Linked DNA regions of Notamacropus eugenii. The protein of the gene in region 2 binds, or shares a complex with, the protein of the main gene of each other region. Links are inferred from orthologs where the notes say so. Each region holds a gene or a part of one and is shown on either strand. Other genes may lie near its edges. The genes, in order: FLNA, ITGA2B and ITGB3.

What was found.
Region 1: the proteins of ITGA2B (region 2) and FLNA are in contact, whole or in part, in an NMR structure (PDB 7SFT), measured with the Homo sapiens proteins. The link is inferred for Notamacropus eugenii from reciprocal best matches to the Homo sapiens genes ITGA2B and FLNA. Residues at the interface, in NP_000410.2 of Homo sapiens: Trp1019, Lys1020, Val1021, Gly1022, Phe1023, Phe1024, Lys1025, Arg1026, Asn1027, Arg1028, Pro1029, Pro1030; in NP_001104026.1 of Homo sapiens: Thr2263, Gly2267, Ala2268, Gly2269, Gly2270, Leu2271, Ile2273, Ala2274, Val2275, Glu2276, Gly2277, Ser2279, Ile2283, Phe2285, Asp2287, Arg2288, Lys2289, Gly2291, Cys2293, Val2295.
Region 3: the proteins of ITGA2B (region 2) and ITGB3 are in contact, whole or in part, in a cryo-EM structure (PDB 8GCE), measured with the Homo sapiens proteins. The link is inferred for Notamacropus eugenii from reciprocal best matches to the Homo sapiens genes ITGA2B and ITGB3. Residues at the interface, in NP_000410.2 of Homo sapiens: Gln49, Phe52, Arg72, Trp141, His143, Asn145, Glu152, Ala153, Glu154, Lys155, Pro157, Arg184, Phe191, Tyr197, Glu199, Phe202, Pro217, Tyr221, Phe222, Phe262, Asp263, Tyr265, Tyr268, Thr290, Trp293, Thr294, Gln315, Met316, Ala317, Tyr319; in NP_000203.2 of Homo sapiens: Ser188, Pro189, Tyr190, Tyr192, Ile193, Ser194, Pro195, Pro196, Tyr204, Asp205, Met206, Arg242, Asp243, Pro245, Lys279, His281, Ile282, Ala283, Leu284, Asp285, Arg287, Leu288, Ala289, Gly290, Val292, Gln293, Pro294, Asn295, Asp314, Tyr315.

Annotation. Positions count from the first base shown.
Region 1 is NC_092879.1:9,764,858-9,772,303, reverse strand, and holds the start of FLNA (filamin-A), read right to left. Parts: upstream 3,099-7,446; 5' UTR 2,960-3,098; intron 1-2,959. Other genes in the region: uncharacterized protein, read right to left, coding at 5,333-5,455, 7,273-7,374. UniProt on the Homo sapiens protein: Promotes orthogonal branching of actin filaments and links actin filaments to membrane glycoproteins. Anchors various transmembrane proteins to the actin cytoskeleton and serves as a scaffold for a wide range of cytoplasmic signaling proteins.
Region 2 is NC_092873.1:349,591,191-349,599,045, reverse strand, and holds the start of ITGA2B (integrin alpha-IIb), read right to left. Parts: upstream 3,094-7,855; 5' UTR 3,006-3,093; coding exon 2,821-3,005; intron 2,102-2,820; coding exon 1,980-2,101; intron 1,811-1,979; coding exon 1,713-1,810; intron 1,419-1,712; coding exon 1,256-1,418; intron 1,061-1,255; coding exon 1,011-1,060; intron 809-1,010; coding exon 763-808; intron 317-762; coding exon 188-316; intron 22-187; coding exon 1-21. UniProt on the Homo sapiens protein: Integrin alpha-IIb/beta-3 is a receptor for fibronectin, fibrinogen, plasminogen, prothrombin, thrombospondin and vitronectin. It recognizes the sequence R-G-D in a wide array of ligands.
Region 3 is NC_092873.1:346,313,723-346,321,560, forward strand, and holds the start of ITGB3 (integrin beta-3), read right to left. Parts: upstream 3,024-7,838; 5' UTR 2,582-3,023; coding exon 2,518-2,581; intron 1-2,517. UniProt on the Homo sapiens protein: Integrin alpha-V/beta-3 (ITGAV:ITGB3) is a receptor for cytotactin, fibronectin, laminin, matrix metalloproteinase-2, osteopontin, osteomodulin, prothrombin, thrombospondin, vitronectin and von Willebrand factor.

The DNA.
Region 1 (7,446 bases), on a different chromosome or scaffold from region 2:
TGGAGGGGAGCTAGAAGGAGCCAATATGTTTATTGTTCTGGGATTTGGGGGGAGGGTTTTCTCGGTATAAGGAGCAAAGAGCTGAGAAAGACAGGGTTACCTCCCAGTTGCCCCTGACTCTGTCCCCTCAAAAGTGCCTGGCTTTTCTCATTTCAGCCCTAATGTTCCTTTCTCCAGCTCTGGGCCCCCTGAACAGTGCCTTGCTCTCTCCATTGAATGAACCTGAAGACCTAAGTCATTGATCTATCTGCCAGGAAATCCTGCGTCACTACTGGACCAGTTCCCAACTCATCTCCCCTCCCTTTCCTCACCACTCTCTTCTTTCTGACTGAGGGGGGAATGGGAGGATGGGAAGGAGGAGGCCATGGTCTCTGCAGCATGACCCATCCAAATACGGTCAACTTTCACTTAGATCACTTTATGAATTACCTGAGGACTATTTTTAATTCCAGACTGGCCTCATTCCCCTCCCAGCACATTTCTGGGTCTATTTCAGTCTCCTTGGTCTTTTTCATGTCCATCTATGGGGGTGGGCAGAGCTCGCTCTGATACAGGTTCCAGCTCTGATACAGTCTCTTTTTCACATTCAGTAGTGTCCTCCATCCCTCCCCTTGCAATGAGCCCAGTGGAAAAGAACCCAGAACCCAGTGAACACATATGCCTAAAAATCTGAGTTTGGCGTTTGGGCTGCTCTTTCTGCAGGTCTCAATGGAAGCAGCTCTCCAAGGAAGGGAGAACTGATGCAGGGGATTATTCATCAATCAACTCCTGTTTGGGGAGGCAGTTAACCTCAGGCATTCTAGTTTCCAGCCCCAGGCCCCCAATTCCCAGAGAAATTCACCCAATCCCATTAGATTTTGCTCCCTGAGCTGGAGAGAGGAGAAGCAAGCCTGTTCTTGGATTTGCACCACTGGGAACTGAGGACAGTGAGCATCTGGTTCAAACCCTACTCTGTCACTTGCTAATGAGTCACTTGTCTCTCAAGGCCTCAGGCTGCCAAAACATCTGTAAAAAGAAGGGGTTTAGTAGAACAGCCTCGGATGTCTCTCCAGCTGTGATGGATTCCTCTACGGACCCCAGCTCCACCTGGGATTGCAGTGTGGACATCTGGACACTAGGGGACGCCCCATTCCACACCCCAGCAGCTCCCCTGTCCGAGGAAGCTGAAATTCCGCGAGTTCATATTTTCCCTTATTTGGAATGAGACTGAGGAGTCAGACATAGCCTCAGACCCACGCCCCTCTCCTGGCCTGCTGCCTCCCCGATTCCCCTGTCCAGGACACAGCATTGCCTGCAGCTCAGACTCGAAGGCTGTCTCCCTTTGGCGTGATGGGCTAGCTAAGGCAATGGGCCCACTCCTTCCTCTCACTTTCCCTTCCTGGGCTCTCAGTTTCCCCAGTCTCATAGTCTCTCACGGCCCTGCCTGAGAGCCTCAGAATGTGACTTGAAGCCCGCAACAGAGGCTTCTCCCAGAGCACCTTACCTAACCCCAACTCTAAATTCATGCTGGCCTGACGTTGTGGGGCTCTGGCGAAGCACTTCCTCCCCAAAGAAGAGGGGAGACTGGAAGGCAGAGGGGATGGGTGGATGGGGGGGACACAATCAGAGGAAGTATCAGTTGTGCCAGTTGTGGGGCCTCACTCCTCACCACCCAGGGCCACACATCCCTAGTTTCCAAACAGCACCCTGTTTGGAGGCTCAGACTGCCCCGTGGAGGAAGCCAGGGATTTGGCACCATTCAATTGAACTGGAGACAGATCTAGTTCAGACTTAGCCAAGAAGTTCCCTGTCCATGCCACCCCAACACCCCACCGAGACACACTGCACTGTTCACAGAGCAGCTGGAGTGGAGCGCAGCCCCAGGGTCTGGCAAGGGATGCTACATGCTCCCATGGGTGCCTGGTGGGAGGCTACTGGGCTCTTTGGTTTCCCCAATACATGGCTATCAAGTGGCTAGGAGCCTGGCCACTTTTTTATGCACACACACACGTATGCACACACATGTCCATAGAGTGACAATTTTATATACCCCCCCCATACCCCTTTGTACACTCACACCTACACTGACAGAGTGACTGGGAATCTTCCACACGTACACCCACATAGAATGATCTAAAATCTTACACACTCACATCCACAGACTTGGAATTTTACACACTCACCCACAGAGTGACCTGGAATCACACACACACACACATACACGCACACGCACACACAGTGACTTGGAATCCTACACATCCATCCTCAGAGTGACCATCACACACATACACGCACACGCACACACAGTGACTTGAAATCCTACACATCCATCTCCAGAGTAACCATCACACACACACATACACACACACAGTGACTTGGAATACTACACACCCATCCCCAGAGTGACCATCACACACACACACACACACACACACACACATAGTGACTTGAAATCCTACACACCCATCCCCAGAGTGACCATCACACACACACACACACACACACACACACACACACACACACACACACACACACACACAGAATGACTTAGAATCATACATATCCATCTACAGAGTGACCTGGAGTCATGTCCATCTCTCTGTCCTGTCCCGCCCCACCCTGATTCCCCAGTCTTGCCTGCCTGCCTGCACACATCCACAGCAGTTCTCCACAAATGGAGGGTCAGGCACCCACGAATATCTATCCCCTGAATGGATTTCCTCTTTCTTCCTTTTGCCCACTCAGCGGGTCCTGATCTTTCCTACCCACTTGACTCTGCCCCCTGCCAAGACAGAGGATGTCCAGGCCAAGAGAACCTGTGGTGACTAGGAAGGGGGGTAGAGTGGGGAGGGGAACGCGCCTTAGATGGGACTGGGCAGGCCCAGGATAGAGAAGCCAGGCTGCCTGTATGGCTCCCGGGTGCCAGTAGCCAGCAGCACGGGGTGGGATGGGAGGGTGCTACCGGGAGCAGCTGTCTTACCTGGAGCCCCGAGCCGGAGCTGGGAGCCGAGAGCCTCCGGAGCCTGGAGAGCCTGGGATCGGGAGCCGGGAACCTGCAGCCGAGGGCACCTCGACCTGTGCTGGCTCCCTGGCTCGGCTCTGGCCCGAGACGGGACGGGCAGGATCCGGAGCCGGGTCCCAGGAGCGTGCCGAGGACCAGAAGGGCAAGGGCCAGCAGACTGACTGCCTGGCGGCTCGGCTCGGCTGGGCTGGGCTGCGGGAACTCACCCGCTGGCCGGGGCCACCTCTTGTCAGCAGTAAGACCCCCCCTGGGTCCGAGCCGGCTCGGGCGGAGAAAGCCTTAATTGGTAAAGTCGCCGGGGAGCCCGGAATGAGGGAGCGAGAGGAAGAGTGAAGGAGAAACTGAGGGGGGGAGGGGGCAGGAGGGGGAAGGGTGATGGCACTGCTGGCGGCGACCCCGCCCCTAGGGGAATGAGCTCACAGCCCAGCGGGCCTCCAGCCCAGGGGGGGGGCACCCTTACCCCCACCCCAGAGGGGCAAAGAGAGGAGGAGGGGGAGGATTGCACTAGGGTGCCCTCTTAGTTTCGTAGACCCCCTTTACTTTGAATGCTCTCCTTTCACAACACCACTCCCCCAAGTTCAAGCTGACTTGTAGGGTTAAAGAAGGAGGCACACTCCTATCTCTTGTTTAGGCTGAGGGTCAGGGGTCAGTTCCTGGGTGGACCTTGACTTCAATCACATATTATCGATGGAGCAGATTGGAATGAGAGAGGAAGAAAGCATCCTTGGAGAGCTGCGTAGACTCTGGGGCAGGGGAGGGGGCATCTCCCCCATTTTCTCTCTTCCTCTCCAAAATTCTATTTCAATAATGGGGACAGGGACCCTGAAGCTGTTTCCTGCTCTCCTATAGTTGGGTTGGGGACCCTCTTCCCCCAGGGTGGCTCCACCTCTTTGGGTCCTTCTGCTCCTCCATAGCGTCCTCCTTTGTTCAGGGTTCATTCCCCTCCCTCTGATCTCCAAGGCTCCCCAGTCTAGCCCACACTCTTTCTTCATAGTTGGCCCCTAACAGAATTATTTTTGAATGAAGCAATGGAAAAGAAAATGGAAACAATCCTGGCCTGGGATTCCTGGCTCATTCCCTGTGTGACCTTGGATAAGTCCCTACCCCTCTCCTGGCCTCAGTTTCTTCATCTGGCAAATGGAATTGGATTAGATTACAGATTCTCTAAGGTCCCTCCCAGCTTTAATAGTGTATTAGAATATAAGGCAATATTATAAAAATGCCATGGGGGGGAAGGGGGCTGGTGGGGGTATGGGTCCAGGACACTGCCACCCTCTTCTAGGAGCATCTAGCTATCCATCCCCATTCTCAGATACAGGGGGAACATGGGCCCCTCCCTGCCTCCTCAAAAGCCAAGTGTCAGGATCCAGGGCCACAGGAGGAGACCTGAGGTAGGTAGATCAGCAGGGGAGGGATAGGGTCAAGGGGAAGGGAGAGAGATCACAGAATCCTAGACTTGGAGCTGGAAGGGCCATTGGAGGTCATCCAATCTAATCCCTTGGCTTGATGGAGGACCATGAGCATCATCCAGCTGTGACTCCCTTAAAGGCAGTAAGGAAACAGTAGCATTACCTATAGGTTAAAACTTCACCATGTCCCCTAACTGGGAAGTAGGGTCAAAAGGTGGGAGGAAAGTGGGGGTGAGGAAGCCAAAGACTTCTCCAGAATCTTCCTTTTCTTGCCCTCAGCACAGTCTGGCCCAGAACTGGACCAGTAGGGGTGGGCTGGAGCTCACAGAGGTCTAGGACCCCAGAGTCTTAGAGGAGAACAGGCCCTGTGAGATTATCTAGTCTTACTCCTGCTCTGTTCTCCCTAGACTCATACCCTCCCTCCCCGATTTTATACTTCCCCAAAATGAAGGATAATCAGTGACAACAGTCAAGATTTCAACTGACCAACAAGCTTTTATTTAGCCTCTATTATGTCAGGCCCTGGGGAGACACAAAGACAACACTCTCAAAAGTTGCCACCCTCAATGGAAGCCAGGCCTGGCTCCTAAGGTTCTGGTCTTTGGGATGGATTGCACAAGGGAACACAGAGACAAAGGAGAGAAGAGAACTGAGGAGATGACCATGGGGGGTGGGGGTGGGGGTGGGGAAGATGTGCCTGAAAGAGCTCTCTGAACTCTCTCCAGACACTGAAAAGGCAGAGGGAGGGTCCTAAAGGGGTGGGGTCAGGGGGTGGCAGATCCCAGCCTTACTGTACCCCCACAGCTCTAGATCCTCCCATGGTGGCAAAGGGCAGTGGCCCTTCCCCAGCCCCAGATCCCAAGGGGTTGCCAGGGACAAAGGTGAACAGGGCCTACAAGCAGGGGTCCTTCCCTCAGGAGGCTCACAGGTTCCAACAGCTGGGCAGGTAGATGTCCGTCATAGGCTCAGCTCTGTTGCCTGGTGAGCCACCAGAATGACCCGATTCCCGCAGTAGCCACAAGGCTACTAGCAGGTCAACTGGGGGCTGGGGGGGGAGGAGGAGGAGAAAAGAGCCCTAAGTGTCTCCCATGCCCACCACAGCCACCTCAGGGATCTTCATAGAACAGCCAATGTACTCAGCTGAGGTAGAATGTTTGCACATGCTACATACAAATGGCTCCCTCCCTTCTGGGCGTCCTGCCAAGAAGCCATTTCCCATTCTGCCCACTGTCAGGTCCTGTCTCAGCACCTGGTGTTTCCTGGTTTATATCTTATATTTCCTCCTCCTTCATTCTCCCTCAGCACTACATAAACTCCCTGAGGGCAGGGGCTGCTTCCCTTTTGGTTCTATCTCCTCATGGAGACCAAGGCCTAGTGCCTGGCACCCAATGGGAGCTTGTTGAATCAAATGGGGCATTACTGTGGCATACACATGGATTGAATGGTCAGTAGGTCTGCTCTTTTTTCTGGATTCTGCCACTAACTCTGTTAGATCCTTCCCCTCTCTAGGCCTTGTCTCCCCTGCCCCACCCCAATCCTTCCCTGTAGAACAAGGGTCCCCAAAGTCCCTTCTAGCTCTGATGGGCCATGCTTTGAGAAAATATTTCTCAGCACCTGCTGTTCAGGAGGACTTTGGCTTTGGCTACATTTGGGGGGAACCAGAGTCTGGGAGGAAATCAGTGCAGGTTTCTTGGGCACTCCTAGTCTGACTTATTATCTCAAGGCAAAGAGTGGTCTCTTTGTGGCTAGTGTCTACTTCCTAGACCCACTGGGGCCCAGGCCTATCAGGGACTCAGAGAAAATGTCCATATCTGTCTCTGTCCTCCCCTTAGTCCAGGCAGCAGTCTCCCAATCCAAGGTGTCTTCAAAATAACAGGAAACTGTCCCAGATGGGCCCCCCTTGGCCTGCCTGTTCTCCAACCAATTATTGACCAGTCTCAGTCCCTCTCTGAACTAGGACCTGGGAAAAGGATCCTAAAAGAAATGAAGGAAATGGGCCTCATTCTTGGCCTCTGATATCACTGAGGATTCTGTCCAAAAGCCTGCCTATTCTCTCTCTCTCTCTTGTCTCCCTCTCTCTCAGTTTTCTCTTGGTCTCTCTCTCTGGCTCAGTTCCTCTTTCTGCCTTATTTCACAATATTTCCATCCAGATCAGCCTCCTGTGCCCAAGTCTGGGGGAGTAGGGTGTGGCACCAGCCATGCCAGGGAAGGTTCCTGGGTATCTTTCCAACTCCTAACCAAGCCCCAATTTTCCTAAGCCCATTCCACCTCCCCCTAGGCCCCCCAACCTCCCTGACCACCCGCACAAAGAAGAGATGACTTTCTTTTTTTCTGGGTTTGGGTACAGCAGGGTGAATCCCAGGCTGGAAGCTTGGCTTCATTACCCTGCAGTCAGAAATGGGGTGGGGCGCGACTCAGAGGTCCCTAATGCTCCCAACCCAGGGGAAGACTGTTTTGTTGACATCTCATCCCAAGGGGTGGGGAAGGGGGTGAGAGGGAACCTGTGGGTTCAAGTTCCCTAAGCTGGAAGGGGCCAAGTGGGCAAGCAAGGGTGAATAAGGACCCTTAACCCTGACCCAGGCCCTTCCTTCATTGTGCCTATGGGTCCCAGGGGATGTATGTCTGCCCATGTGTTGCTTGGTACTACTTCATTTACGGATGGACGAGGGCCCTGCCTATGCCTCTGACTAAGATGCATGACCTGAATAAGTCAATCCTCAGTTCTGTACCTCACTTTCTCCATCTCTAAAATAGAAGTGGGGGGGAGAGGGAGGGAAGGCTGATCTCTGAGGGCCCCTCTTTCCAACTCGGTCTCTGTTTGGCCCTACTTTGCCCCAGATGAAGGGGAAGTCAAAGTCTCACCTGTTTTGGGACTTGTGGAGGCCAGGCCCTCAGTTCCTTGTTGAGGCCCTTTCTTTGAAGGCCACCATCCTCCTGCCACAGAGCCTGGAGCTGGGATCTTGCCTGTGGCAAGAATGGAGAAGGATGTCAGTGAAGTTTAGGTTTCTAATGACCTGAAGCTATAGAAAGGCAAGG
Region 2 (7,855 bases):
CTCCTACAGCCACTGAGTACCCTGTGGACAGGAAGCATTCATTGACAAGGCACCACTCCTCCACCCACTCACCTAGAAGGAAAGGCTAAGGACCAAAAGGAAGGAGGAACGAGTGGATGAGGGTAGGCAAGAGAATGGGAGTAGGGCAGATGACCATGGGCTGGGGAATGAGGAAAGGACCCAATACCCCGGTAGGCGTCTTGGTACTCAGACTTAAAGATGTCCTGGCTCAGGCGCTGGGAAGGCACGGTCCAGAGAAGTGAGGATGGGGTATAGCTGGACATGATATCAGAAAGCCGAGCCTGAGCTAGCAGACCTGATGAGTGGAAGACAGTTTGGTCTGAGGTTAGTGAAGTCTTTTCCCTGCAGCACTCCTAAGTCCAATGACCCAGCCCAGAACAGGGGGGATAGTGCATTGTGGGTCAGGATGGCGTTCCCATTTCAGTCACTCAGGGTGCCAAGGATGGTGTTCTGCCACCCATCTCTCCTGGGGAACAAAACTGATCGGAGAGAGGAGGGGAAGTTCATTGTAGCAATACTTAGTTGAAAAGTTGGACCTCAGACACTTTGGCTATGTAATGAAATCCTTTTAAAAATTTTCTGTACACTGACAGTTAATGAAGCTTGCATACTGTGCAGTTGTCAGTAAATCTTTTAGAAGTTTGCCAGATTATATTTATCGAATAAAACTTTCCCATTTAACTACTTAAAAAAAAAAAAAGAGGGGAAGTGGGGCTGAGTAGCGTAAGGGAAGGATGATACCTAGGAAATAGTAGCCTCCAGGAGCCCCCAGAACCAGCTCCCCAGACTGAAAGGAAAGTACAGAAGGTGAGAAGGGTGAGAAGCTCCCCAGGCTGACAGGTCCCTCCCCGCAATTCAATAATCAAATCAAAGGAACATTTAATAAGATCCCCTTATTGTGGGGATTCAGAATGTGCCCCTATTCTGAATCCCATCTCTGCCCCCCAATTCTAATTTCTCTCGTCTTCTGCCCTGCACCCCTCATTCACCTGAGTGATCGTGGAACTGAATCCTACTTCGCAGTAGCGCAAGTCTCTGCCTGGACCCGGGTGGAGAAGAGATGAAAAGAGAGGAGTCAGGTCAGTTGACCTGGCTAAGGGCCCCTCCCGAGAACTAAAGGGCAGGACCAAGGAGAGGGACGTGGCCACCATTAGGGCCCTCAGAGGCCCGGCCATTTGTAGGGGTAGCCCCACGGGAGGAACTGGGCGAGTCGCGGGGACGGGGTGTGGCTCACGGGAGTTCCCGAAGTAGAGCTGGTTCATGGCATTCTCCCGGCAAGGAGCATACTCTGCCCGACGGCCGCTCCTGAGGTGCGCCACGAAGCAGCTCCCGACTGGGGTCTTTCCGGCCTCCTCGGTCTGCTCCAGAGCGTTCCAATGCTGCCAGGGAGCGCATGCCTGCGGGAGGGGCGGGACGTAGAGGGTCCTGGGGCTGAGGGGGCGCGCATGGATTCCCCTCTCCGCAGCCTCCCCCGCACTCAGGGCTTTGTGACCTGGCTTTGCCTTCCTCCCTCCTCTCCTCTCCCTGCCTGGCCACGGCTGCCCAGTGTTCGCTCTGTGACCATCGTAGTGCCTCTCCATATCTCCTGCCTATCCAATGCCCAAGTTCTAGCTCTTCCATGTCAGTCCAATGCCCTACTTCATACCTGCCTGGTCCCCATACTACAAGACCCATGCTTGCCCAGTACCCACCACAATGTTGTCCTTCCAAGTGACAACGGATGCACCAAGCCCTTGCTTGGTCTTGAAGGTTTTGAAGGTGATCGCGCCCACCTTGCTGGTCTGATCCTCTAGAAGGGAGAGAGAACTTGGGTTGGAGGTAAGCAGGGACCACTTCTCATGGTCTCTCTAGACCATGCAAAGACCTTTCTCCTAGTGGAGTAACCCTCCCCCTCCCCCTTTATAGTTCCCATCTCCCCTCGTCCCCCATCCCCTTCCTATCCGGGGCCCAAGACTCACTGAGGTCAAAAGTCAGCGGACTGCAGCTACTTCCCTGGGCTGCCCAGGGACATAGGAACACACCTCCAGTCTCCTCCCCCTGGGGGCTTACAGCCCTTGGGGCTCCCACCACAATGCCAAAGCTGCAGGCAGAAAGGAGCCTGAGTTGAGGCCATCTGGTCAGCATCACCCATGGGGCACAGGGACAGGAAGATGAGGCTGATCAAACATTGTGGGAAAAGGCTGGGGCACGGATTCATAGTAATGTAAGAGGGAAAGTGAGTTTAGGGATGATAAACCATGCCCTTGGGTGTGTGCTGGGGAAGAGTGTCTCCATTTCACTTGGGGAATTTAAGCCTAGCCCTCAGGACAATAAATAATGTCTGTCTTTAATTCCTTTTCTTTTCCGGCCCAGCCTGAATTCTCTTTACGTATCTGGTTGTTTTCATGCTGACCACAGCAGGTCCAGAGCCCTTTACTTAAGTCTGCTCTTTCTAGCTGGGTTCTGTGATGCTTCCCCACCTCCAGCCCCGTCCCTCCTACCAACACAAAACTTTATCTGTCCCGCTCTTAATTCTTTGGAAGCGATCATAAAAACTGCTTCCCACGGAGGTAATGCTCAATAAGGGTTAAAAGTAGAATTTCTCCTAGAGATAGTGAAATTTTAATAAAGAAAGATTTCATTCACACCATGAAATGGAATGAAGGGTAGAATTTCAGGCTTCAGGTTGGTGGGTGGATGATTTGAGGAACCCAGGTGACAGCCTTCTTTGCCCTAATGTTCCTAAAGGTTTATGTCTGTAGATGCACTCACACATCTTTGTCCGTATTACAATCTAGTTTTCCTTGGCCCATGACTTACCTGCCATAGCTATCCTCATAGAAATCCAGAGCAAATCCAAAGTGGCTGCCATTGGGGCCCACATACAGGGTTGGCTGCGCAGCATCCAGGTTCAGGGCCCAGACTGGGGGACCACCAGGCACCAGAAGCAGCTGTATCCATCCCAAGAGCCACAGAGCAGGCAGCAGGCACTGAGTTCTAACCATCTTCCTCCTGCTGATGCCCCTGAATAGAATTCTTTAAAATGAGTTCTTTTCTTCCACTCCCACCACTACCAACCTCAGGAAGTTGCTCCTTATCAAGCTGGTCCCCAAAATAACTCCCTGAGTGACAGATGAGACAACATTCCTATAATACTGCCCATTGAGTCTGCTGGTTAGGTAGGTGGAGGAAACTACTTGGGATGAATGTATTGGGGTGGAATTCAGAACTGACTCCCTTGGGAGCTGCAGCACCCTATGGTTAGGGGACAAGATCTTAACTTTTCCCTAATGGAGAAAGAAAATACTTCTTTCCCCTCCCCCATCTTCTCCCTTGCCTGGCAGATACAAGAGTAATATCAGTGGCAGCTGTTTCCTTGCTTCTAATGACCAATGATCATTACCACAGCTCTGCAGCTTCCTCTAAGGAAGTGGGGTTGGGGTCCTTCAAGTCTTATCTAGTGAATTGGTCATACCAAATCATGGGCAATAGTGTCTGAGGCCTCTGGCATTTAGTCTGTTTTGGCTACTCAGCAGAAGACTGACAGTAAGGCTGAATTAGAGTCAAATGGAAGCATTGCAGCATAGGAATGTGAGAGAAGCTATCCAGAGCAGAGTGCCCTGACAAAAAGCAAAAGCACATGAGGCAGAAACGGGAGTAATCAAGGAAGCAGAACAAAGAAGAGGTCAGAGGCAAGCAAGAGATGCCCATCCCTCCTGCATCCCTCTCCTCAATCCATCCATTGTGCCATCTGAAACCTCAGTTCTGTTGTTAGACTGTTCTGATTAGGCATGTGCCTTCCCCTAGAAATTACTTTGTATATTTTGTTGTTGTTGAGTCATTTCAATCATATCCTACTCTCTGTGACCCCATGTAGAGTTTTCTTGGCAAAGATACTGCAGTGGTTTGCCATTTCCTTCTACAGCTCATTTTTACAGATACGGAAATTGAGGCAAATAAGGTTAAGTGTCACACAGCAAGTAGGTGTCTGAGGCCAGACTTGAACTCAGGAAGAGTCTTCCTGACTCCAGGCTCCACACTATCCACTTCAGCACCTATACTTTGTCTTTAATTGTCTTATTTTTGCTATACCCTTCCAATAGAACCTGGAGCTGTTTTAGGACAGAGAGTACACCTACCAGCTTGGGGCATACCAAGCACCTTGTTGTGGAACATTTAGAATTCATCTCAAACACCCCATGCTCCAGGAAACGTTCTGTGTAACCTAGAGCTACCTTACCCACCCTTGTCACCATTCACTGATTACTGTTACATAGCTGCCATGGTGCCAATGAACACACTACTAAGCTGGCAGTCACAAAGACCTGAGTTCAAGTTGATACAAAGAATTAATAGCAAGTCACTTAACTTTTGTCTGCCTCAGTTTCCTCAACTGTAAAATGGAGATAAAGATAATTACATCAACCTCACAAGACTATTGTGAGGATCAAATGAGGTATTTGTCAAGTGCTTTAGCAAACGGTCAGGGATGTGGCAGGTACTTTTAATAAATGTTATTCTCCTCATCATTCCCTTTATGCACTTACGGAAACAAGTTTTCTATCCCATCTATGTGCTTATTTCATAGTTATCATAGTGTTCCACTGGGAATGTGTAAATCTTCAAGGCAGCAATCTTTTAAGCCATATATAACCAAGTCTAGCATGTGCATACTTAAGTGTGTACTGGTAATGATGGACTACAACTAAAATAAGTTTCAAATTAATTCACTCCCACTTCCTGTCTCATGCCTTCAAAATACATACCATGTCTGATATCTGATTATTAATTAACCTTTCTCACTTATTTCCTTTATTTCCCCATGAAATCCCCAGTGTGAAAGGTCAGGTGGTCAGGTTATGTTTGCTTCTATTGAGCATAAAATTCAATTCTATAAATACCAGAGTGTTTATGTGCTCAGAAATATGGAGGACATGAAATTGGTATTAAGATAGATCCTGCCCTTGGGAAGCTTAAAGCTCAAACACACAAAAAAAGGGACACACAGTAACAGACAAGCATGTATTATGAAAGGTCAAATTGAGAGGAAAACACATAAACACATAAAGCGCTTTAAGTAGTCAGAGACCAATATAGAACAGGCAGTTAAGGGAGAGTTGGGATCTGAGCTAGAGGGGGGATCCTCTAGATTTCCCAGTGTTGGGATGGAAGCCACATCATTGGGTTTTACCACTTATAGAAGGTAAACCCCTGCATTCGAATCTAAAAACTCAACTGTAGAAGGAAGAGGGGGAGGTGTAATTAGAAAAGTACTTAGATGAAAAAAGACCTCTTGAGTTTTAGTGGACTGCAAGTTCATTGTGAATTATGGTGGTGGTGGATCCTAAAAATACTAAAGCAGAACTTAGGCTCACTAACCATAAGCATCGTGTACCCAGCAGGCAGTTATTGGCCACACTGTGCTCTGTCCTGATCAGATCGCATCTGGACAAGTATTTAGTCAGGCATGCCACAATTTAAGGGGAACATCACAAAGTGTAGCATGTCCAGAAAAGCAGATCAGGATATTGTCTAGAAATATCCAAAGATATTAAAGTCAAGTAGCCCAAACTTAGGAGCTACATCAATCAACAAACATTTTATTACGTACTATGCAATGTGTGCTAAATATAGGGAATATAAAGAAAGGCAAATTCAGGTCTGACCTCAAGGAAAATGTTCAAATGGGAAAGACAATTAAAAAAAAAAGATATAGCTCAGGGGACCAGGAAAGCCCTTCTGCAGATGGTGGCATTTGAATTGAGTCTTGGAGGAAGTCAGATGTTTTAAGATAGGGACTTACCCTGGACTTACCAATAGATATCTATGTATCTATATAACCTGGTGAACAGATGAACAAATTATGGAATAGAAATGCTATAGAATACTATTATGGTGTGCTCTTACCAGTGTGATGGCCAACAAGGATTCCAGAGGACTAACAATGAAATTGACTAATGATGAAACATGCTACCCACCTCCTGAAAGACAGGTGAAGGACTCAATTCAGAATAATTTTTTTATTTTTTGACTTAGCCAATATAGAAATTTGTTTTGGTTGACTATATATGTAATAGATTTTAACTTTTATATGTCCTCAGTTGGGGGTGGATGGTAAGGTGAAAAAGCAGATCTTGGGCAATTTAAACAAGTAATGTAAAAAATGATTTAAACAGCAGGTAGTGCAGTAGATAGAGTTCTGGACCCGAAGTTAGGAAGACATGAGTTCAGATATGACCTTAGACACAAACTGTGTGAACTTGGGAAAGCTACTCTGTTTTCTCAACCCTTGGAAGGGTTGTTGTGAGGATCAAATAAAATACTATTTATGAGTGCTTAGCAGTGTGAGATACAGCAGACACTATATAACTGCATATTCTCTTCTCTTTCTTGTTCAGCTAGAAGTTGGTGCCGACCAATCATTCTGCAAAGCAGTTTAGAACTATTGATACCAGATATAGAACTGATTGATACCAGAGACCTACCTTGGCATTTTTAGCCTAAAGAAAGCAAAGTAAGTGCAAACAATATTTTTAGCAGCTCTTTTTATAGTGACAAAGAACTGGAAAACTAAGAAAGTGTCCTTCAACTGGGGAATGGCTGAAGAAATAATTATATGAACATAATGGAGTACTATTTTACTGTAAGAAATGAAGGGGATTGTTTCAGAGAAAGCTGGGAAGATTTATATGAAGAGGTGCAGAGTGAAGACATAGATTCTGCAGAATACTTTACACAACAATACTGTAAAGAGAGTGAACTTAGACTTAATTCTTATCAGTGAAATGACTTCAGAGAACCCATGTTAAAACATGCTACCCACACCCTGACAGAGCCAATGGAGTTGGTGCAGAATGAAGTACTTTTTGGACACAGACAATGCAGAAATTAGTTTCTCTTGAATGCATATTTGTTTACAAGGATTTTATTTTCTTTTAATTTTTCAATGCTTCCTCCCATTGAACTATTTTTTATTAAAATAAAATGTAAGTAAAAAGAGCAGTTTCAACTGAATGAGGCCAGAAGTCAGGTTGTAGTTTATAAAGTAGAGTTTAAATGAATTTTTAAAGAGTAAATTAAGAAATATGGGAGATGGTAGGATCAAATGTGGCCTTTTTAAGGATGGGGGAGACCTGGGTTTGTTTGTAGATTATCAGAGAAGCCAGCAGATGGGGAAGTGTTTGAAGATGATAGTGGGGGGCAATGTGCTGAAGAAGGAACAGGATGGGATCAAGGTTACATATAGATCTTGTCAAGATCGTTGGAGGAAGGAGTGCTGAATGTAACAGGCAGGAAGAAATGTTTGAAACAGTCACCATTGGGAGTGGAACAGAGCATCAATTAAGGAGAGAAGTGCTTTGATGCAATAAAGGCCATTAAAAATTTTGTAAAAAATCAAATAGTTTTGTGACCACCCTACTTCTATTCAGCAGTATAAAAGTAAAAGTAGCAGATGGGGTTTGTAATCCAGGGTTTAGGGTAGAGTATAAACTGCTTCACCAAAAGGTTGAGATTGGCAAAGGATGAGAGTGTATCCACTGCTGCAGTGATGGCCTGGGAAAGTGAGGACAGAACAGACTGGGGTCATAAGATACAGATAGATGGTCAGACAAGGGAATCAGGGGTTCATAATCATGAAATAGGTACATTCATGGGTGATGGTTAAGATCAAAGGAATGTCCACCTAAGTCTTGCTAAGGTGGAATGAAGAAATAGATCATGTAAATGAAATAGACCAAATAAGAAATAGGATATTTGAGAGAACATCAATACCTATACATATACGTATGCTTATATATTTATGAAGGGAGGAGTTGGAGCGAAGACTGAACAAAACACCAAACTCATTGAGTAA
Region 3 (7,838 bases), about 3.3 Mb from region 2:
GACTAGAAGTGTAGGGTGAGGGAAAATGAGGTGGCAAGATAACGCCAAGGCAGTAAATAATGTCGGTTAGTCATGCATTTATTAAGCACTCACAGAACCATCACTGGATGATGTAATACAAATACAAAGAAAGACAAAAATAGCTTCTGCTTTCAAGGAACTTACATTCTAATGGGAAAGACACTAGGCACATACATAAGTAAATGAAAAACATAGACAAAATGAGTGGAAAAGGGAACCTTAGAAGAAAAGGCTCCAGCATCTTTGGGGACCAGGAAAAAACCAGCTATTGATGTGGTGCTTGAGCTGTGTCTTGAAGGAAGCCAGGGATTCTGAGAGGCCAGTCTGAGGAAGAAGAGCGCTTGAGGCTTGGAGAACAGTCAGTACAAAAACTGGAGATAAAATATTAGGTGTGAGAAAGAGTAAATAGGACTGTATAGTTGATTTATAAAGGTGTAGAGTATAAAGGTCATAGAATGGAAAGCTAGGGAGGGGTCAAGTTGTGAAGAACTTTAAATGCCAAAGGACTATATAGTTGATCTGTAGGTAATAGGAAGCCAGGGGAGTTTACTGAGTACTGGAGTGACACTGTCACGCCTAAACCTTAGGAAAATCACCTTAGCAGCTGTAGGGAAAATGAATAGAATGAGAAGATACATGAGGCAGGTTGATCAATTAGATGGCTGATGGAATAGTCCCGGAGAGAGATAATAAACTAGGTTGGTAGCAGTATAAGTAGAGAGAAGGGGATCTATTCAAGATATTTGGTAAACCTGAGTGACCAGAAGGCTGGTATCTTAAACAGAAGAAGATATCTTCAACAGAAACAGAAAAGTTTAGAAAAGACGGAGTTTGAAGAGAAAGAAAATGAGTTGTTTTGGACATGTTAATTTTGAGATTCTCTATTTAGACATTTTGCTCACCTGAGTTTTATGAGACAGTAGTATGGTAGACAGCAGAGGTGGGAAAGTGAATGACATTTATAAATAATTTTTAAACTATAAGTGTTTATAATAATTACATGTTCTATTTTACATTTATAAATAACTTTGAAAAAGTGCTTTGAAAACCTTAAAAGATCTATGTAAATGTCAGTTATAATTACTAATAGCCTCAGCAATATAACTCAAATGTTCCTCCAGCCTTCTGGAGAACCCTCCTCTTGGGCAATGATTCCTTCTTGGGTAACAATACCCATTCTGTGTCCTCACACAGCACTTTGCGTTTTAACTCCCTAATAAACATGAGTTCTAATATTGTGTGTTCCAGTTATCTGCCTTTGTCTTATCCCCTACTAGGCTAAACCCCATATTTATCTCCCCACAATGTTTAGTGATGTGCTACACTTTGCACGTAGTAGATTCTTGTTGGCTGATTAAATAAGTCAACTCTGTGGTCCTCTGAGCATGTAAGTCCCATAATAAATAAAAATAAAACCCCCAGAGAATAATACTCAGTTAGCTGCGGGTTATTTTGACCCGCACCAGTATTTTCTGCCTCCCTAACAAGGAAAGTCCCAGAAAGTAGAAGCTGTCTCCAGCACTCCAACTTCTCCCTCCCTTCAAAAGAGGTCCATGACCTCTCAGGAACTCAGATATGTGAATCCCTGTGGACTCATCAACCACACTCTATCTCATCCAGGGTGGATCAGGAGGAGGAAAGTAGGAAGCCCCTGCTCACCTCCCAGATGGGGACATAAATATGGAACTGTCTGCTTGTGGCCCGAAGAGCGGGTAAGCCTGAGATCTACAGCAGCAAGATTTGAGTCCTGGAGCCTCTAAGAAGTCCTTATCCCGATCGGAGCACCTTTCCTGGTCTCACTTCCTGGTCTCACTTAAGTGAACCTAGACTTCACTTAACGAAAGCGGAACCCCAGCCTTGTTTTGTACCTGTAAGTAGCCTTCTGTCTGAGCATCAGTACAGTAAGACCACAGCCTCTACTGACACTCGGGAAGGCAAAGCCTTACCAATAGCCATATCACCGCAAGAGGAGAGAGAGAGAGAGAGAGAGAGAGAGAGAGAGAGAGAGAGAGAGAGAGAGAGAGAGAGAGAGAGAGAGAGAGAGAGAGAGAGAGAGAGAGACAGAGACAGAGACAGAGACAGACAGAGACAGACAGACAGAGACAGAGAGACAGAGACAGACAGAGAGACAGAGACAGACAGAGACGGAGAGAACCAGAGAGACAGAGACAGAGAAAGAGAGAGAGAGGGTGGGGGAGACAAACTACCTGGAGATGAACTTCTAGTGCAAACCCGAAATAAGAAGACAACACGGAAAGATCCACACATCCCCAACGAGCTGCAAAGTCAGAAATCCCTGCACTGAGGACTCGCACCCAAAGGACCCGCTATTGAGCTGCACAAAGGGGACAAGACCCGACAGTTGCGGATCACTCAGTTCCGATGCCTGGCAGAGCACAAGTCGCGCCCGGACTCCTTCTGTAGTCCCTTCAGCGAGCTGGGGTCTCCCAGAGCCCGGATAGCCTCGGAATCCGCGGCCCGTTTGGTGCCACTTACCCTGGACTCTGCCCGCCAGCGCCCCCAGCGCCAGCAGAGCCAAGCAGAGCTGCCGCGGTCCCATTCTCGTCTCTCCCACCCTGGCTCTGTTCCGCGATCCCCTACAGTTGGGTGCAAAGCGCAGGACGCCCCGCAGTCTTTTTTCCCGCCCCCCACGGCTTCCAGGAGGGTGGGGACGGATGGAGGGGGTGGGACTGCGCGAGGTCGGGGGGAGGAGTAAGCCGCAGACTCCCTCCCTTCTAGCTGGAAAAGAGGAGGGGCTTTTGGGGGGGCGGGGGGCGATGGGTCTGGTTCTTATCACCTTGGGGCTGCTGCCAGCTATCCTTAGACCATCTAATCCAACCTCAGTTTTGAGAGGAGGAAGCCGAAGCCCAGAGAGGAAAAATTCTTTCTTGTGTTCCCCTTTCACGCCACCCCCGCCCCAACTTCTAGTCCCCGAAGGAGTACAGCTCAGCACACCCGAGGGAAAGATGAAAAGTGGGGCGGGAAGGGGTAGGAGGCCGAGCTGGAACTCGCGTAGCCAAAAGGGAGCAGAGAATGGAGACCGTTAATTAATTCAATTTAAGAAATGTTTATTAACCTCCGACTGTCTGAAAAGAGTTGTAAAGGACTTGGGGGAAGATCCTAAGATAAAATATGATAAAATTCCTGCCCTCTCCCCCTCCCCCGCCCCAACACACACACCCAAGGAACTTATAATAATAATAACCGACATTTATAAATCCCTTTCTGGTTCCCAAGCTATTTAGGTTCATTATTCTTTGTTCCTTTGCATTGTCTGCCATGGAAGCCTTCAGGGACTAATAGAGAACTCATTGTTCTCCATTCTCGGGTTATTCTCAGTTAGGACCTGATAGCTTGGTACTGAACCGGTCCGGGCTTGACACATGCCAGTTAGGCTTGACACAATCCCCAGCTAGACTCCTGGAGGGCAATTACATTATTGAATATTGTCCCCAATTGTTTAAGTGCTGGTCAGGTAGCAAACCCTATATATAGACACTTGTTGGATTGAAGGGCTACAATAAAGTGTTCATTACCTCTAACTGGATTTATTCTCTTTTTTCCTAGAGCTGATAGGAAGTTTAAAGCTCCTCTAGTTCAACCATTTCATTTTATATTTTGGAAAATAGAAGGCCAGAGGAGAACTTATTATTATCTTATTATCAAGAAATGTCATTTCCTTAAGATTGAAAAGCCAAAGTTAGTTGCAGAGCCAGGTCTAGGATCAGAGCTGTCTCTAAGCACATCAAGGTAATCACTAAATGCCTTAGGAAAAGAGGGAAGGGAGGGAGGAAAGGAAATAAACATTTATTAAGCACCTACTATGTGCTAAGCCCTTAACAAGTGTTATACCATTTGATCCTCACAGCAACCCTGGAAGGTAGGTGTAATTACTCTCCCCACTTTATAGCTGAGAAAACTGAGACAGAAAAAGGTTAAGTGACTTGCCCAGGATCACATAGCTAAGAGTAAGTGACTGAAGTTGGATGTGAGCCTTCTGGACTCCAGGCCCAAGGTGGTCTAGTTGGTATCTTTTGGAAAAAAGAGAGGAAGATGTTTGTGAACAGTTTTGGCAAAATGGGTGTCATGTCCAATTCCTCTTTGTTTAGTGACAGGTGCAACTGTAATAATATATTTTATGAAATCTCTTCCTTGAGAAGAGTAAGAATTGGTTGCTTGGTGGCTAAAAATAGGAGTAGGACATTGAAAGTCTGAAAATAGACTCCTTGACTGGTTAAAAGTGAAATTAGGATTGTAAATGAAACAGTAATCTCAATCCAGAGGAACCAAGTAGGATAATCCCAAATGGTGGTGAAGGGAGATTTGCTATTTTCATTTTGGAGGTAAAAAGTTGGAAATCGCTAGTTCACGGTGTAAGCTTTTAGACATGAGAATAAATAAAGGGTTACCTTAAACCCAGGAAGTTTGAACTAAATCATAATTTACTCAAAGTGGGAACTACCTGTTCAGAGGAGAGTAGTTTATTGCAGCATACTCCTTTTCTTCCTTTAAAATAAAGTTTAAAAACAAAGAAGAAAACTCACTTATGGTCTGCAGTGTGTGGTGGCAGCAAGGGAATAAAAGAGAAACGGAGGGATGGGTACCATCAACCAGAGATGCCAGCAATGGTTATAGAGGAAGAAAAGGTAACCAGAGTTTGTGAGACAGATCTCTGAATCTAAGGAACTAGGAAAACTCAGTGACCTAGAAGTTTAGGGATTATTATCCCAGCTCAACATTAGGAATGAATAAATTACCTGTACTACTCCAAAGAAATAAAAGGAAAAGGACTCATATGTAAAAAAAATACTTATAGTAATTTTTTGTGGTGGCAATGAACTGAAAACTAGGATTTTAATTTCCCATCAATTGGGGAATGGCTGAACAAATTATTATAATGGGAAAAAATTGTGCTAGAAGAAATGATGAAAGGAATGGTCTCCGAGAAACCTGGGAAGACTTGTAAGAACTGAGTCACAGTGAAGTGTAAGAACAATTTCTGTAATAATGACCTTGCATAAACAAGCAACTTTGAAGAGCTTAAGAACTCTAATCAACAAAATAATCAACCAGAATTTAAGCCAGAGGACCAAAAATGAAGTATACTTCTCAAAACCTGACAAATGATGGACTCAAATGCACAATGAAGTAGATGATGGTGATGATGATAATGATGATAGATACATAGATACATAGATGATATATAGATGGATGGATGGATGGATGGATAGATAGATAGATAGATAGATAGATAGACAGAGATATAGATTTTTTTGGAGACCAACAAGATGTATTCTGCTTGATTATATATATTTGTTACAAAGGATTAATTCTTTTTTTCTTAATGAGGGGAGGGAAAACAAATGCTTATTAATTTAAAAATAAAATTTAATTTTTAAAAACAAATTAAGGGATACATAAGGCTTAAAAATTAGTGAGCATAAAGTTCTAAGGCCAAAAATGGAGGAAAAGTTAGAATTCTCCTGAATTAGTTGAGAAGGAGCTCAGGCCCCAAGAGGAACATGGAGGCCTGGGACCCACACTCGTGAAGAAGATTCTTCTTCTGCTGTAGAGCTCCTAAGTCTCACAGCATCTCACTCAGAATCTTCCTTCAGCACCTGGGGCCTTCTCACCCTGGAATATCCCTCTAACTCTATTTTTGTGATTGTTGTTGATCAGTCATTTAGGTTGTGCCTGACTCTTCATGACCACATTTGGGGTTTTCTAGGCAGAGATACTGGAATGGTTTGTCATTTCCTTCTCCAGTTTATTTGATAGATGAGAAATACTGAGGCAAACAGGGTTAAGTGAACTGCCCAGAGTCACACAGCTAATCTGAGGCCTATCCACTTCACCCTGTACCTTATGGCCTCTATTAATAAGTTCCTTCCAGGGTCTCCATTTTGGGAGAACAACCCTGGATAACCAGCTTACATTTCCACCCCCCCACCGCCCCCACTCTGCTTCAAACTCTCTGGACTTCACCACCATGTTCAGTACCTCCCCCGCTCAACCCTGTTTTTCAGCTCCCTGTTATATATTGCCTTTCCCCACTAGTATGTAAGGTCCTTGGGGGCAAGAGCTGTTTTTCTTATATTTTATCCTGGCATTATATCACTACATATATATATATTTCTTATATTTTATCCTGGCACATAGTAACCCCTTAATAAATGCTTCTTGCCTAACTGCCTGCTTTACACAAACAGACCTAAATCCTAAAACCCTAGAATTAGCTTGAATTGTGCTGTCTGTTGTCTGTCTGGTCCCTTTTCTCCTCTGAGTCAGTCAGTCAGTCAGTCAACAAATATTTATTAATCATCTGTTATGTGCCAGGAACTGCACGAAGTATAAGTCACAAATGTCAGACCTGCAAGCACAAAGGTCCTGGGATTCAAGAGTAGAAAGGATTTTTTTTTATTTAGTATTTTATTTTCCCCCAGTTACACATAAAAACAATTTTTAACATTTATTTTTAAAATTGAGTTCCAAATTCTCCCCCTCCCTCACCACCCCACTCCCATTGAGAAAGCGAGCGATTTTATAGAAGTTATACATGTATAGTCATGCAAAACATACTTCCATATTAGTCATGTTGTAAATGAAAACCTAGACCAAAATAAAAACCTAAGAAAAATAAAGAAAGTAAAAAAAATATACTTCAATCTGTATTCAGACTTCATCGGTCCGTTCTCAGGCGATAGACAGCATTTTTCATCATATATCTTTCAGACTTGTCTTGGATCATTGTATTGCTGAGAATAACTAAGTCATTTACAGCTGATCATCTTACAATATTGCTGGCTCTGAAGGAAATAGTGAGGCTGGTGACTTTGCCCAGCTCTGCCTCACTTAAATCCAATTCACTTGCAAGTCAAGATATCACCTTCCTATTGCCATCAATTCTCTTCAAGAACTAAGGATAAGCAACAATCTGAGAGTCAAAGTAGCTGTCCCACTGGGATATATTTGGAGATTTCTCAGATTAAACTGTGTGGAAACATAGCAAACCAAAGAGATAATGATCTTTTTGTGTTCGCTCCTGACATCAGACCCTGCCCATGTAAACCTAGATGAAGAGGGAACCCTGGACTAAGAGCTACACACTTAAAATGTAAGCTCTTTGTGGGCAGGGACACTTCCACTTCGGTTTTGTATCCTTGCCCCTATTGTGGTGCCTTGTACATAGTAAGCATCTAATAAATGTTTGTTTGAATGAATGAATGAACAGCAAGTCATTCATCAACACTAGACAGAAGTTCAAAGGGAAAGGAAGAATTTGTTCAAAGTCCTTCTGGGAGACAGGATGGGGACCCCTGGCACTATTTCCGTTATCTTTCCCTGTCACACCACACTATTTCCTCTACTACCTTCCTAAACCCAAACTAATAAGAGTTCTCAACCATTATCCCCACACCATAAGATAGAGGGTCAGGGGAAGGGACCAATGATCTTTCTCTCTCCATTTAAAGGATTAGGACGCAGTTCTCAAAGTGGGGTCCGGAGAACCCTTTCAAGGAGTCTGCAAGGTCAAAACTATTTTCATAGTAATACCAAGACATTTTAATTTCTAATATGATTAATATTGATAGCTATAACCCACAAAACCAAAAATTCTCAAAAATTTTTAAGAATGTAAAATATCCCAAGGCCAAACATTTTGAGAAGCACTGGCCTAGGATGTCCTTTGGGGACACCTTGAAGGAAGGAGGAAAGTTGTACTCTCTGAAAAGCTGTAGGAAGGACCTGTAAACCTAGACATGATGACAAAATCATAACTAGGAATTAATGCTTTGAGGAGGGTTTAAGAGCTGTAC